3 linked regions of the Danio rerio genome follow. The protein of the gene in region 2 interacts with the protein of the main gene of each other region in a biochemical or structural test. Links are inferred from orthologs where the notes say so. Each region holds a gene or a part of one and is shown on either strand. Other genes may lie near its edges.

Region 1 (5,452 bases), on a different chromosome or scaffold from region 2:
AGTAGAAATCTATGCTGACTGAATAAACTTTGGTTTTTAGGAAGAAAAAAAATGAAGATATGTATTTAAATGCACATAAGGTTGCACATATTGCCTTTCATCAATCAAATACCTGAGTGGGTGTCAAATGCAAATACTGGCTTATGGGAGCGATCATTTAGCCACTTACCTCCAGTGCTAAAGCAGTTTTGTCATATGCGCATGGCACTCGTTTCTGGATCGCCTTCGCCAACACTGGCCCGTTCTGCACAGAAGGTAGCGGGTTGATGACAGCGCCGGGTGTACCAGGAGGAATGGGAGATGGAGTCTGAGGCTGGGCATAGGCGTGTGATGGCTCAGGGATGCCATAGCTATTGGAATTCCGTGAACCATGGATGGACTGACCAGGATGAGGCGAAGATCTCACAAGCTTTTCTACATAGGGAACAGGAATCATGCCTGTTCGGCCTTCTTTGTTCTTGGCACTCCACCACTGCTCCTCAGGCTTGTCCATAATTATTAGGATTTCACCCTTCTTGAAAGGAAGGTCTTCAGCATCGCTGCCAGTGAAGTCATAAAGAGTCCGCACATACTCCTGGTTCTCATCACCCAGTCCTCCAGATGGCTGAATAGGACCACTGGGCAGAGCAGTACTGGGGTACCTGTAGAACAACAATCAAATCATATTTAGGATCGACTTATAAACTAGAAAAGCAGCATTTAAGAGCCCATCTAAAAGCAAACACTTTAATCAGCTTCTCGCTAGTGGAGGCCTTTTGTAATATTTAATCATCTACTCGATGTGCACTTTCACATGCAGAGTAACTTCCTGTTATCTTAAAGGGAAATAACTTAATTTTTCTTTACTGCACATCTCAAAAAGAACATTTTATAAAGAACCAGAACAAAATTGAGGGGAACTACAGATGTTTAATTCATTACTCTCATTGTAAGAGTAATACTAAACAGCCACCAAACCTATGGCAAGCAGTTTTAACAGTTATAGCTTACACTTAGTGAATCAATTTATGCTAATGATTAATTCTGGGCCGATAAACTGTATTATATCGAGTCGCGAAAATTTATATCAATGATAAGCTCTGAAATTTTTTACTTGATATTGACCTAATTACACAGCAGAAATGTGCAACAATGGGTATCTAAAAGTGTGTTGGTATTGGAGATGCACCCAATGTTCGGCCACCAAAAATTTATCGGCCAAACATATATTATGCCATTTAATGGTCCCTCTAATTTTTGTGACTTCAGTCATTGTTGGCATACACTTTTACATCTGGAAGCATTAACAACTTGCATCGAAATATGAGCAATTTCAGCATTATAGATATAACATTTACAAAAACTCAAAACATAAATTCACAGAAAAAAGTATATTTTAACAATCAAAAACAACTAACCACCAAGTTAAGGGATCTAAAAAATATCAATCTGTAAACATTTTTCATACTTTAAATGAGGAAAATAAACATGCGTTATGGATATGACCAAAAAAGTCTGCAAGTTACAGTATACAGCATACTTTGAAGAAATTATGTGAATTAAAACAGCAAAACTCAAATGAAATAATGCTAATTAAAAGGATGAGAGTTGGCTCTCTATAGAACAAAAAAAATCTTGATTTTATTTTACATTTTTGTATTTATTGAAAAAAAAAGTTAAGTTAGTTATGGATGTGACGTCTCTCTGCTATGGATGTGACGGATGTAAAATTGCTACTTGTGCGACTTTGATAAATTAAATATAATTGATTTTTCAGTCCAGTAAAATACAAGCCTACACACACACACACACACACACACACACACACACACACACACACACACAAAAAAAGAATTTAGCTATTTTGGTAAAAAACATAAAAAAAATTCATAGCAAGGTTGACATTTGCATGGAATTGCTCATATTGTCAATATGGAAAATAATTATTGAGATTGCATTTTTGCCAACTAATGATACTTTTTGTCTAGCAAGTAAGCCAAAACTAATCAATACTTTTACATTACTATCAACTTATAAAGACTTGCAGATGACGTCCATTTTTGACAGATGTACAAAGTTTCCAAATGATTCATTCATTACAATCATAAGTTGTAATATTTAGCAAAATAATATTTAATCATAACTAAGCCGAATCTCTGTCAAATTATCTCTGATAATACGTTTTAATTACAACATCAAAATATAAAAAATTCTGCTTTATAATTGAATTGGCTATACAAAAAAACATGATTTTAATGGACTAGTAGAGTCAAATTTTTAGAGGACAGTCACTAAGAAAATTATGCTAGTAACAAACTGCTGTCTTTCCAGTTTTACTAGTTGTAACTAGCAATATTTATCTTGTAACAACTTTTTTTTACTTGCCACTTTGTGAAAAAAAAATTATTATGATAGCTCAAAAATAACCTTACTAGCAGACCACAGTAGTCAGACCACAATAAAACCATGCAATGTGTTACTTATTAGCTAAAATATAAATGCCAGTGTCAAATTAAAAGTAAAACTGAAAGCATTTCCAGAAACATCCAAAAAGCTTCAACTTGCAAAGATTTGAAATTTAGTTTCCGTTGCAATTACAGGTTACTTACACAATACACTACTGGGTATTGGAGTATTGTTGCAACAGAAAACGTACAAAATAGATGAGTAATAACTGGTAACTAATGCAACTTAAAAATATAGTCTAGCAAGTAACGATGACAAAAATGAGTCAATAAAAACAGATCCTGGTTACTTCGAATGTTTAAACGGCTTGCCACAGAAGAGAAGGGGAGGGAAAAGAACATTATTGAGAAGAGGGGTGGATGATGTGACGATGTCAAAAGTAAATGAAAAAAACTCTTACCTTGGTGCTGGTTCTATCAGGGTGGTCGTATCCAAATAATGTATTTTATAGAACTCCAAAAGGCCGGGTAGATTATCAAACTCTTGATCGCCTATCTTGAATCTCTTGCTTGGCAAAGAGTTGATGATATAGTGCGAAACTTTGGAGTTTTCGGACACTGAAAGTACATAATCACCAGGACAAGTGGACGAATCTCGCACTAAAAACATCCCGTGTCTCTGTCCCTGTAGCCTATTCTGCGCCTCCTGTCTCGAAACCGGCCCGAAATACCAGCTGGCTCGGTCTGAGGAGTCGAACCGTGCAGACGACATGTTTATTCGAAATACACTTGTAACTGACGAACACGGGTGAAAAAAAGCAAAACGAGCAATAAATTAAAACAACAAATGCTTATTCTTACAAGCGACCTAGCACTTCTAGACCCGTCAGTCCTACTGAACCGCAACCTGACGTTTGACCAGACAGGCTGCGACTAGCGTCAACCAACTTTGATGCATTGCTAAATTTTCCACCAACACAAGATTCGCGGCGGTTTTAGGAGAGGTGTAAATAACCCCAAAAGTTCAGAGCGAGCTCAAATACACGTATTTGGAATCAAAGTTCCCCTTTCCGCTCTCTCTTCCGTGAAAGTAGCTGCAGCTTATGAGACAATATAACGCGTTAGCTGAGCTAGCCGTCTTCAGTCACCGTCCGCTCAAGAGGAGCCAAACAGCGCCATAATATGTTACTAAATCGCTCAGCATGACAATTCAAGCCGACGTACGTCAGTTGCTTCCAAAAACGAGTTCTTCTTTGCGTTCTGCCCCAAAGCACGAAAGAGTTGTGTCTCTAATTTTGACTCCAAGCAGACTTAGAGAGCTGTAACAAAAATGGCGGCCCGCAACACGTCTTCACAAACAACGAATTGTGAAAAATCTAGAAACATAAAGTTTCCCGCCTTGCACGGCGCTCTTTTTTCTGACGCGCGCGTCTTTCACGCTACAGTACGAGCGAGAAGACCTTTCTTAAAAATTCTGTTTTCTATGTCCTCCTTTCCTTCTCGGGATTGGTGTAAAGGCTGCTTCAGCTCCCCACACCGTCCGAGAAATGGCGTCTGGAGGGCGGATCTGCGCGCGCTCACGGTCTGTCTGATCGCCCGTCACGAACGCCCCGAGCGCCTGTTACTTAAAAGGAAGAATGAAATGAGTGGCGTTCAGAGGGGCTGCATTTCAAACTCTCTGAACCGCGATAATGAGACACACAGGGCACTGACAGAGCCTAGCGTGAGTAAAAGCTTTAAAGTGCTGTATTTTTGCTTACATTTTGGAAGGCAAGCTTGGATCACATCCTATCTGGATACCTGTTGTTTACACGGGGAGTTATATATATTAGCTTCACATGTTCAACTTTTTGATAAATTTATGATATGTTGGTGCCTAATGAATTTAAACATTTATCGGTGGAAGAAACTGAAGAAAATGTGCACAAGCCGAATTTACTTTTCTAAATCAGTAAAACATTAAAGTTAAATTGCATTTTTTTTGTGTAAATTCAGTTAATAATTGAGGGTATTCATTCTACATCTCATTTTACTCATTCTAGCTACACCAGAATGTATTTAGTTGCAGTATAACCTATAGACCTTTTTAAATATAGAATTAAAAAAAGACCACCAACAACTATAATGGCAAAGTATTAGGACAACAGCAGCCTGCGTTTAAACATTGTTTGTATAAGAAATCCTTTGTACCCATTTCAGTGGGTTTATTTAACAAGAGTTTATCTTAATTAGCATTGTAATATTAAAACTACTGTATTTTGCATTATTTTTATTGTTTGTTTTATGGAATGTCTGCAGCAATATGGTGATGACCATAACAAATTTCCTGTCAAGGACAATAAAGTTAACTTTACTACCACTTATGTATATGAATTATCTTGGTGGGATTGTGCCTTTACTTGAGTAATTTACAGTCCTGAATATGTTAACATTGATAATTGCATTCCTATACAGATAATGATTATTAGAGGTGAAAAACATTCAGGATACATATGCAGAGACATAATAATACAGAACCTTAAATACAAAAATAAAACAGCAACTTTATGTAAGTCGTCTTACAAGCATTATGTCCAATACATTACATTTTCTTTAATAAAGAAGAGCTCTTACATGCAACCAGGAGCAGACTTAACCAAAAAGTGAGGTAAGCAACCGCTTAGGACCTCGAGAAAATAGGAGGCCCCGACCAATGCCAAGAAGCCTTTATTAATCATCCTAGCTATTTTCACATTTTTCTATAATATGTTGTAAAATCTGTCTGTATCCATTAAGATTTTAATATTATTACTTATTTTCTAAACCAGGGGCCCCAATGAATAGTGGAATTTTTCTCCAGTTCTGCACATGCAAATATTAAAATCTAATCACAAATCAAAACTAATTAACTAGTTTGTGAACTTGCTTTTTATTTGCGAATACATTCATTCATTTTCTTGTCGGCTTAGTCCCTTTATTAATCCGGGGTCACAACAGTGGAATGAACCGCCAACTTATCCAGCAAGTTTTTACGCAGCGGATGCCCTTCCAGCCACAACCTATCTCTGGGAAACATCCATACACATTCA
Region 2 (4,792 bases):
TTTTTCCTTCTTTATGTTACTTCATTTATTCCGTAATGGCGCCTTACAGCCGCATAACTTCTATCCTTGTTTTAGCATGTCCAGAAGTCCAACTTTTAGTTCGATGGTTAGCATCTTCCTTTTGAGTGCCTTTGATGGTGCTGAATGTTTCGTCAACATTTGTGGGGTTTGTTGGGGAGAAATACTCCAAACATACAGTACAGCACTTAAGAGTCACACTGCTAGTGATCAAAGATTTATGTACATTTGGCAAGCTGAACGCATTCTTTACTGTACAGGAGACACGGCATGGAGAAGATTGATTGACAATGGTCTAAATACATCTGTCATAGGGTGCAGAACACAATGCACCAATCAGGACGCAGAACACACTGAAAACATCAGTGAAACTACAAGGCTGCGAAAATGTGAACCGCATCATAGCGAGGGACCACTGTATTTTTACATTAATTAATGCTTGCTAACATCTAATGCTTGAAATAATATTTAACTGTTGCATAATTGAAGTTTTAAAGATCAACTCTTTGGCAAATCTCAAATGCAATCCGTTTGTTCATTTATATATGTTTTTATATTATAAGGGTGTAACACCTAAATTCCCTTGAAACCTTTAAAATGGCTTACACTCAACTTATATGAACCAAAAATGTAACAATCAGATCACTAATGACTTCAGTTATGATTATAGGAGGCTTGTTTTGGTAAACACATTATTTCTTTTTACAGGTATATGACATTCCTCCATCTGTCAGCAAAGACGTTCCAGATGGTCCAATCAGGGAGGAAACGTACGACGTTCCTCCTCATTTTGCCAAGATGAAGAGCCTGGAGAATCAGAACCAAGCCTATCTGTCTCAGATCCCTGGCGGTCCCGAGCCTCCCATACCAGAGGATGTCTATGATGTTCCTCCTCCTCAGCTAATAGGAAAACGACAGCCTGAGGGCCAGGAGATCTACGACATCCCTGCCAGCCTGCGAAAAGGTGGCCCACAGGACCACCACCCCACAGATGTGTACGACTTCCCTCGTGAGCGCCCAGCAGGCGAAGATTCAGGCGATTACGTGTATGATGTGCCTCCACAGGTGGTCCGTGATGCAGCGGCCACCGAGGAGCTCACGGTCAGCTTCAAACGGCTGTCAGCGTCCAGCACTGGAAGCACTCGCAGTAATCTCTCCACGTCCTCTTTAGACATGGTGCCAGTGCGGGAATCTTCTGGGCCAGGTCGCTTGCTGCTCCTGGATCTGGACCAGGCTATGGAGCGTCTGTCCCGTCATCAACAGGCTGTGGAGAGCTCCGTTTCTCTCCTCATGTCGTTCATCAGTGGAAACTGGCGCAGCTCCACTCAGATGGAGTCCAACCTCCCTGCCATCCGACAGGCCGTGGACCGCATCCGTGTGGCAGTCAGGGACCTGCTGGAATTCGCTAGAGGTGCTGTAGCCAATGCCACCCAGGCCACCGACCGCACACTGCAGACCAAGCTTGGCAAGCAGGTGCAGAAGATGGAGGAGGCCTTCCAAGGTCTGGTGAGGTACAGTCAGGCACTGGACACTTTGGGCTGGTCCCCTGCAGCCCTGATGACATCTCAGCCAGGCACAGGTGGGGATGACCTGGACCGGCTGATCATGTGTGCACGTGGTGTACCTGATGACACCAAGCAGTTAGCATCGTTTCTCCATGGCAATGCCTCTTTGCTCTTCAAACGGACAAACAAGCAGCAGCAGCTTCCTTTGCCACCTGTTCCTCATACCGGTGACTCGCTGACCAATAATAACAACATCTCAGCCTATCAGTCAGGGACACCAGAAAGGGCCAACATCCAGTCCCGTCCATTACCCTCCCCTCCCAAATTCTCAGCCGAGGAGGAGGCTCCAGATAGGCCGTATGAGACAACAGAGGAGGGTTGGATGGAGGACTACGACTATGTCCATTTACAGGTATGCTAAATACAAAAATCTTCAGATTGGTTTTCTAGTTGTATGTTCTCATTGGTCTGCATGCCATCCTTATATGGGCTCTGCCTGTAATCCCCACTGTGTCAAGCCTCAGGCCTTTAATCAATCACCTTGATTGCATGTGCAGACCTGCTTTTCCTTAAAGCCCACATACATCTTCCTTTAGCACCAGCTGTTGCCTGTCATTGTGTCAAAACTTCCACGGAAACTGTGCAGATAAATGACCACAGTTTAGTCATAGGGGCATTTTTTAGTCTTTCAGGCTTTCTGTGTAACTGATATTTTCCTTTAAAAAAAAAAAAAAAACTTATTTATTTTATATGCTCAAGGCAGATTACTTCATCACCTAAAACATTTATTTTTTATTGATTTTTGTTTCATTTGAAACCTCCACTTGGGTTAAAAATCAGAGGAGGTATGTTTAATTAAGAGTCTGACTTCTGTAATCTTTTCAACAGCCAAAAATGGCTGTGTTGAGTTTCACTGTAATGTTATGCTGCCCCCCTGTGGAGTGAAAAGAAGCGTTTCAGCACACACTGTGAAAAATATGGTGGAAACATTCCAGTTGTGACTAATAGTGAAGGTTTATCTTTTTAATATGAATCAGTGCACAGATAATTAACAAAAACCTTTGCTCGTTTGATAGAAAACAAATTGTGGCCTACCTTTTTGGATTTAAAAAGCTTTACAATTAGTCGACCCAGTATCCATTCATTCATAAAGTAATTTTTTTTTTCTATTTTAGGGTAAAGAAGAGTTTGAGAAGAACCAAAGACAGCTGTTGGAAAAAGGGAGCATCAAACAAAATAAGACTCAGCTTGAACAGCAACAGGTATGCGAGACTATAACACCTTTTATGTTATAATAATACACAACATCATTTTTCATAACGTTAGGACATTCCATTTTTAATCACTTAAACTATATTAGAACATGATTAATTGAAACGTAAATGCCCATAAATATGCCAAGGGGTATAAATACAGCTGATTTAGAGTTTAATGAAAAAATAACATATTTAATGATGCTCACTTGTTAAGCCACTTAAATTTTACATTATACTAATTTTTAAAAACCTTATGCTAATTTTGCTAAGCTTTGACTTATTATTACTACACTGTAAAATTTATATGATCAATTAGTCCTGACAGCATGTTTTAGGTTATTGTAAAATATTAAACTTATTAAAAAGTTTAAAAGTTAAAAAGCTGTTTTAAGTCAGTTTAACATAATAGTTCAATGGACTCAAAAGGCTCATTTGATTCAGCTTAAAAATTTAAGGCAACCAGGATTTTTTACACTGTTTTGTTTGAATTTAAATATACTTTTTTTGTATGTATACATGTAATTTATTTACAGCGTTGGGCAAGCTGCTTGAAAATTGTAGTGACCTAAGCTATTAGCCACTCTCCCTAAAATGTAGCTTAACTACACGAAAAGCTACCGCCTGGGAAATGGCACAAACTAAGCTAAAAGCTACTTGGCAAAAGTAGATTAACTACATCTAAGCTATTTTTGCAATTTTAATTTTTAAATCGAAGCAACTTAAATCTAAGTCAGTCATACCTCAGTGATTAATAAAACTATCAATGAAACATGAGGCATAATTGTTTAATTCAGTTATTTACTGCAAACTATATTATGTACCAAACAGAAACAAAGTATTAGACCAAAAACAAAAAAATCCAATAAAACTAGGTGTTACACATTTATAATACTACATTATTTATAGTAAAGGGAAATATTTAGGAATATGCATTATATTGTATTTATATTTTTTTATATATATATATATATATATATATATATATATATATATATATATATATATATATATATATATATATATATATATATATAACTATTTATTAATGAATTGCAAAAACATATATACATAATGTTATATTATATGTTTAATAAAAAAGTACCACAATAATTAAAAAATAAAAAGTTAAATAAAAACTACCACAAAAATTTTATTTGAGTACTTCACTGTTTAGTTCAAAAACATTATAGTACTTAATATTACTGAAGTATTTTTAAGCACAGCATCAGAATTAACATTATTGCATCTTAACATGTACTTCTCGAGGTATGGTCACGAGGAATCCTGCTTCAGAAATAACTCCTCTCGTTGTCTTTAGCCTATTTGGTTGGTGACTTTACCATCCTGGGGGTGTTTCTAAAAACCATCGTTAGCCAACTAAGGTCGCAAGTTGTGTCGTTATACACAGTTTGTTGATTTGCCATTTCCCAAATCCATCGTTCCAACGAACCTTCGCAAACTGCGTCGCAAACTTGTATACTTGCAACTACACCTCTGGAGCTGTAGTTAGAAGCAGCTACAGCTCTTCTAATTCTCCAGAATAGGCTTTGTTCTATTCCCAGTTATCCCCCTATACTCTATTCATTTAGAACATTCGAACATTTAAACTTCTAATTATAAAAAAAGTATTAAAGTCATCACTCTTAGGTGTTATTTACTTTCATTGTATTTTTACAGTTCAGTTTTAGCGATATTCATGTTTACAACTGACCACCCTTCGCAGTGCATTTTGAAAACATTGGTGTCATTTTGAACACAGCCGTTGCTTATGACGAAAGCTATAGGTGACCTATTATTTAAAAGTGGAATTGAGGCTACATCTCCAAAGCTTGTGAAAGCAAAAAACACAGCATACAATAATGCTTTTAATTTATAGTAGGTTATTTATTAAGTATCTGTACTGTATATGACATGGGCCTGTTGATTAGAACATTTCTGCAGTGGTTTGCATGTCAAATTGTAAACTTTTCAAAAAAAAATTAAAATAATTAAACAATATCCTACTTAATAATC
Region 3 (5,232 bases), on a different chromosome or scaffold from region 2:
AACATGATTGTTGGGAAACGCAGCAGGACTGAAGCCAAAGAGAAAAGACTCACTGCATGGAATTGTTGTTTGGCTACGCATTGGTTTGTAATACTGATATTCTGTTGTTGCTGCTGGACATGGATTTTAAAGAGATGTGAGATTTCTCTGTTTGTTAGAATAGATCCTTTAACCTCTAAATGATATTAAGATTTCATTTCTATTTATCCACTGATAATAAAATGATAAAGTGTTTAGTATATACCTATATTTAGTGCCTACTTAAAATTTCACATTATTCATATACGCAATTCAAAATAGTTCAAATATGCCTGTAAATTACAGTGTATTGATTAGATTTGTCTTCATGAAAATTAGACATTTTAAAATTAGATTTGTCTTAATTAATTACCCATTATTTTGAATTCACTTAAGTGAAAATACTATAGTGCGTTAACATCATCATAATAGCTTATAGCAGTAGTCTCAAACTCAATTCTGGAGGGCCACAGCTCTGCATAGTTTAGCTTTATCCACCTCCAACTCACACCTGCTTCATAGTCACTGGTAGTCTTGAACACCTTGATTGGTTGAATCAGCTGTGTTTGATTAGGGTTGGAGCAAAACTATGCAGAGTGGTGGCCATCCAGGATTCCAGTTTGAGAACTATGGCTTATATGATCAGTGTTTTTCTAAGCTCCATCTTCAAATTACGGTTTATTAGCCTACATGAATGGTTTAGTAGCCTTTGTAAAGGTGACCAATATGTTTCAATTTATCATGTCATTTCATGGTCAACAGGTAGCCTCAAAATCTCCTGCTGTGTTTCAAAGCCATATCTTTTAGTCAAGTTGTGCCATTACGGAATATATATCGATAAAAGTGCACTGAAGAGCTGTGAACAATGACTTGGTCAGTATTTCTGTACTCCCACAATGATTAATGAACCAAGGGAAATGCAAGGAATGACAAACCGGAACAGCAATATGTGTATGATTATTTGTAAACAAATAAAAATGTATTTGACTGTTGTTGGTATCAAAACCAATAAACCTTTAACAAATATACACTTCATTTATGCGTTACGCGACGAATAATGTTGGTCGTCAATATGTTTGATTAGACCATTTGAGAGCTGAATTGTAACTGGGTGAGACTGGTAGAAAGACTACAAACTATTAGTAATCGATGTCGACATCTAGTGGTTGCTAATTTTGTGGACTCGCTTGTAAAGGACAGTGTTTACGCACTTCCGTTTTTTTTTTTTTTTGTAATAATTTACAGCACTTTCGACCTTTAAATAAATTAGCGAATATGGTTGATGAAAATCATATTTAACTTATGTTTTAAAGGGATGTCTAATTTGTTAAATTTAGTAGACTAACTGTTAGACCACTTACACTATGTTTGTTTGCTCAGGTAATTTCGGGGTCAGCCCGCTTGGACTGGTTAACAACCTGTTTGGACCAGCCACTTGAACCTCTCACTAGAATTTAACAAAACTGTTATGTTTAGCGGAATTTGGGTTAATACAAAGATTAATGCGATGCAAATTGATCAGTATAACTAATGTAAATTCAGAAGTTATAATTGTGTTCATATGAACAATTCCGAAATACGATTACATAAATTAAAAATAAAAAAAACGGTTGGTGTTAAAAAAAGATTGAAACTCCATAATGATACAAGATAAGGCCTTACTTTCAATATTGACCGCACCAATATGACCACCAACAGACACCATCCGCGTCGGCGGCTATTGCATCACTTCCGGGAAATAAGGTCAAAAATTGTTTCCCTTGTCCGCCATTTGAAATATTTGAACTTCCTTGTGACAACTTCCAATGTACGTTTTGGTTTACACTGGACAATTATCAGAAGTTCTGGGTGAATAGCCGCGGTTTTTGCGTCCCATGCACGTTGGAATACCGACGTCAATTGTTTTGTTAATCGATTGGGCCAAAAAGCGTTGAAAAGTGTGCGAATGCTGCGCGTATTCGAAACGTGTTCAACAACGGAACGCGGTAAAGTTTTTGCATGAGTTGAACGCTGCTTGCGGATAAGGAGAGGCGAAGGGAAGGCCTGTGAAGCCTGGGCTTTTTTCTAGCGCTAGTCATGGCCGGAAATTTTGATTCGGAGGACCGAGGGAGCTGGTATTGGGGGAGATTAAGCCGGCAAGAGGCGGTTTCGCTGCTCCAAGGGCAGAGGCATGGAGTGTTCCTGGTGCGGGACTCGATCACTATTCCCGGGGACTACGTGCTGTCTGTGTCGGAGAACTCCAAAGTCTCTCATTACATAATAAACAGCATCAGCAGCAATCGCCAGTCAGGACCAGGTAAGCGTTTGAACAAATGTATTTAAATACTATTAACGACAGGACGGATAAATACTGCTTTAGCAAAGCGCTTAGCAGCTCGATGAAACTTCTATACTACGAATAGTTGTGCATATTCAGTCTAAAATCTCGCGTCATTCTGGGGTGCTGTGTAACCAGGGGTTCGGTCTTGTACACTACGGGCCCCAAATATCATTCTCGGGTGTAAAATGATTTGTATGCTTTCGTGTATGATGCCAGATTTGTTATGTGAAAATTGTATACAAATTCGTTTTATAATATAATATAGGAAACGTTTAGTTGCAATATGTGTCATTATTTAACATAGTTGTTCAATTGTTCACACGTTAGCAGATTCTTTGAAGTATCTTTATTTTATCTACTTACATTTTGCTTCGTTTGAATCGTGTCTTATAATTTTGTGTTCTTGGTTTGTTTATTTGTTTGTTTATATTAATTTGTGCATATTTATCTTGACTAAATGCTCGTTTATTTCAGTTTCACCCTTATTTTAAAACCGCTGCTTCATTACATTCTTACTCCGACATACATGTCTCACCTTATCAACTTTTTATATAACAAATACAATCTTATTAGTTATGTGTCTGTCATTCATTTGAATTACACGCATTATTATAGGTCATGTCAATCACTTATAACATAAACTCACTTTTTTTGTTTGCAGAAATGATCAGCAATATTTAATTTCCAATCTTTTTTGCTGCTTTTCCCATAGGTTGAACCCATAAAATGTTACATTGTTATACTATGTAGTTTTTGCAACACTTATCAGATTTTCATGGATTAGAGAGAGTTCAGTTTAAATGTACACCCCGATAAAAGTTCTAAACCTATATTAGTTTCTCTTTTCTGTTGAACACAAAAGAAGATATTTTGAAGAATGTTGTAATTAAGTAGCCATTTACACCTCCATATTAGAAATAAAATGCCTACCAAATTCCTATGTTCAGTAACTTTTTTTCGTGTTAACATTATGATGAGTAATTGTGAAAAAATTGAATTTTTTGCTGAGCTACCCCTTTAAATTTAAGCAGATCTTGATTATCCATCCATCATCTCATAATGTCATCCCGCAGGGCTTGCTCCTCCTCGGTTCCGGATTGGAGATCAGGAATTTGATGCCTTACCTGCCCTGTTGGAGTTCTACAAAATCCACTACCTGGACACCACCACTCTCATTGAGCCCATTAGCAAATCCAAGCACTCGTCTTTCATCAGCGTCAATGCGGGGACAGGAGGAGCTCCTCCGAGGCTAGAAGAGGAGTACGTCAGAGCTCTCTTCGACTTTCCCGGCAACGACGACGAGGACCTTCCATTTCGAAAGGGTGATGTTCTTCGAGTGCTGGAGAAGCCAGAGGAGCAATGGTGGAATGCTCAGAATTCAGAAGGCCGTGTTGGCATGATCCCTGTGCCCTATGTGGAGAAGTACCGACCTGCCTCACCGACATCAGGTGCACCTGGCGTATCAGTCAGTGGGTCCGGTGCTCACGGCAACTCTGACGGCCACAGCACTCAGTCTCCACCTCTGCTTGGTGAACCGGGCCAATACGCCCAGCCCACATCCTTACCCAATCTACAGAATGGCCCAGTTTATGCCAGGGCGATTCAGAAGAGAGTCCCCAATGCCTATGATAAGACAGCTCTTGCTTTGGAGGTAACAAATGTAAACTTTTCTGAGATATTAATAAATATAAAAATGAAAATATTGCATCATTTATGAACCTTCAAGTTATTCTAGATGTATCCAGTAGTCAGCATTTGAAGTGGATCAAAACCTTCCATCTTAAGTTGTACTAAAATAGTCCTATTTAACAACATCCATTCTTGCCATGATTGTCAGAACTTTATTTGATCTACTTTAAATGTGGACTACTATATGTCCTATTCCTGACAAACACTAATGTGACTTAGCTTTGAATTGCAAGTAAATGTACACAATGTTTGCTTCAAAAAAGCACATTAATGTGTTATAAGTCATTCATACTGCTCAGTGGGTTATTTAATATTTTCTGAAGCAAAGTGTTAAGTTTTTGAAAGAAAAAAAATGCTTATTTAAAAGATTATAAGCTCATATAAACTGGAGCTGCACAATTATTTAAACACAATGTTCATGCACGTCGTTTTGTGAGTAAAAGCCAGCTCTGTGGTCAGTAGTATATCTCCAGCTTTCAAATGGAGCACCATTTACTAGTTACTCATAGTTCATGATCTGTTTGGTAAATGCAGCTACATCTAAAATCAAATAAAGATACCACATTTAACATGTTTTAACTTCCAATTTGTCTTTGAGATAATGTGGCTATTTCTGTTCAATAACTTTGTGTTCACACCAAAGGCGCAAGAGCATCAGAGTTCTCTCTGGCTTTCACAGTTCCAGCGGCGAGAGCGTCAAAAATCGATACATTAACCCCGTATTTAAAGGAGCCGTTGCAGCATATCAGCAAATTAGTTACGTTCCCACATAAAAATGTGTATTTTAGTAAGAAAATGTTGCGCAGCTTTTTAGTAAATTCATTTAACTACAGAAGATCCAGTTGTTGTATGTGCAGTGGCTTTCCTCCACTTATCCAATATGTGTCCAAATGTCTGAAATATTCTGAAGCAGCAGTACGGTTTTGTACTGTCGTTAGTTAGCATGCATTTCCCGTACGAAATAAAATAAAATTAATTAATGCACATCAGTAACTTTAAAAAAAAAAATTTGTATTTAAGTCCCTGTAAAAAAAACATTGCAACTGCAATACTAAAACCCTTGGGAACAACTGTGGTCGGAATCAAAGTTTACAGGACTGTGTTCTCTGGACTCATCTCAAGCGGTGAACTTCTACATTCTGATTGCTTGCCCTCGAACCGTGTCATAGCTTATTGCAGTAAAGTTGACTTGATTTAAACATTCC

What was found.
Region 1: the proteins of bcar1 (region 2) and crkl interact in a test that uses a peptide from one of them, tested with the Homo sapiens proteins (2 studies listed by BioGRID, with this or other methods). The link is inferred for Danio rerio from reciprocal best matches to the Homo sapiens genes BCAR1 and CRKL.
Region 3: the proteins of bcar1 (region 2) and crk form a complex in vitro, tested with the Homo sapiens proteins (2 studies listed by BioGRID, with this or other methods). The link is inferred for Danio rerio from reciprocal best matches to the Homo sapiens genes BCAR1 and CRK.

Annotation. Positions count from the first base shown.
Region 1 is NC_133196.1:20,315,247-20,320,698, reverse strand, and holds the start of crkl (crk-like protein), read right to left. Parts: upstream 3,442-5,452; 5' UTR 3,157-3,441; coding exon 2,846-3,156; intron 642-2,845; coding exon 170-641; intron 1-169. UniProt on the Homo sapiens protein: May mediate the transduction of intracellular signals.
Region 2 is NC_133193.1:24,070,357-24,075,148, forward strand, and holds part of bcar1 (breast cancer anti-estrogen resistance protein 1), read left to right. Parts: intron 1-726; coding exon 727-1,935; intron 1,936-2,698; coding exon 2,699-2,785; intron 2,786-4,792. UniProt on the Homo sapiens protein: Docking protein which plays a central coordinating role for tyrosine kinase-based signaling related to cell adhesion. Implicated in induction of cell migration and cell branching. Involved in the BCAR3-mediated inhibition of TGFB signaling.
Region 3 is NC_133190.1:27,216,450-27,221,681, forward strand, and holds the start of crk (adapter molecule crk), read left to right. Parts: upstream 1-1,791; 5' UTR 1,792-2,094; coding exon 2,095-2,314; intron 2,315-3,411; coding exon 3,412-3,989; intron 3,990-5,232. UniProt on the Homo sapiens protein: Involved in cell branching and adhesion mediated by BCAR1-CRK-RAPGEF1 signaling and activation of RAP1.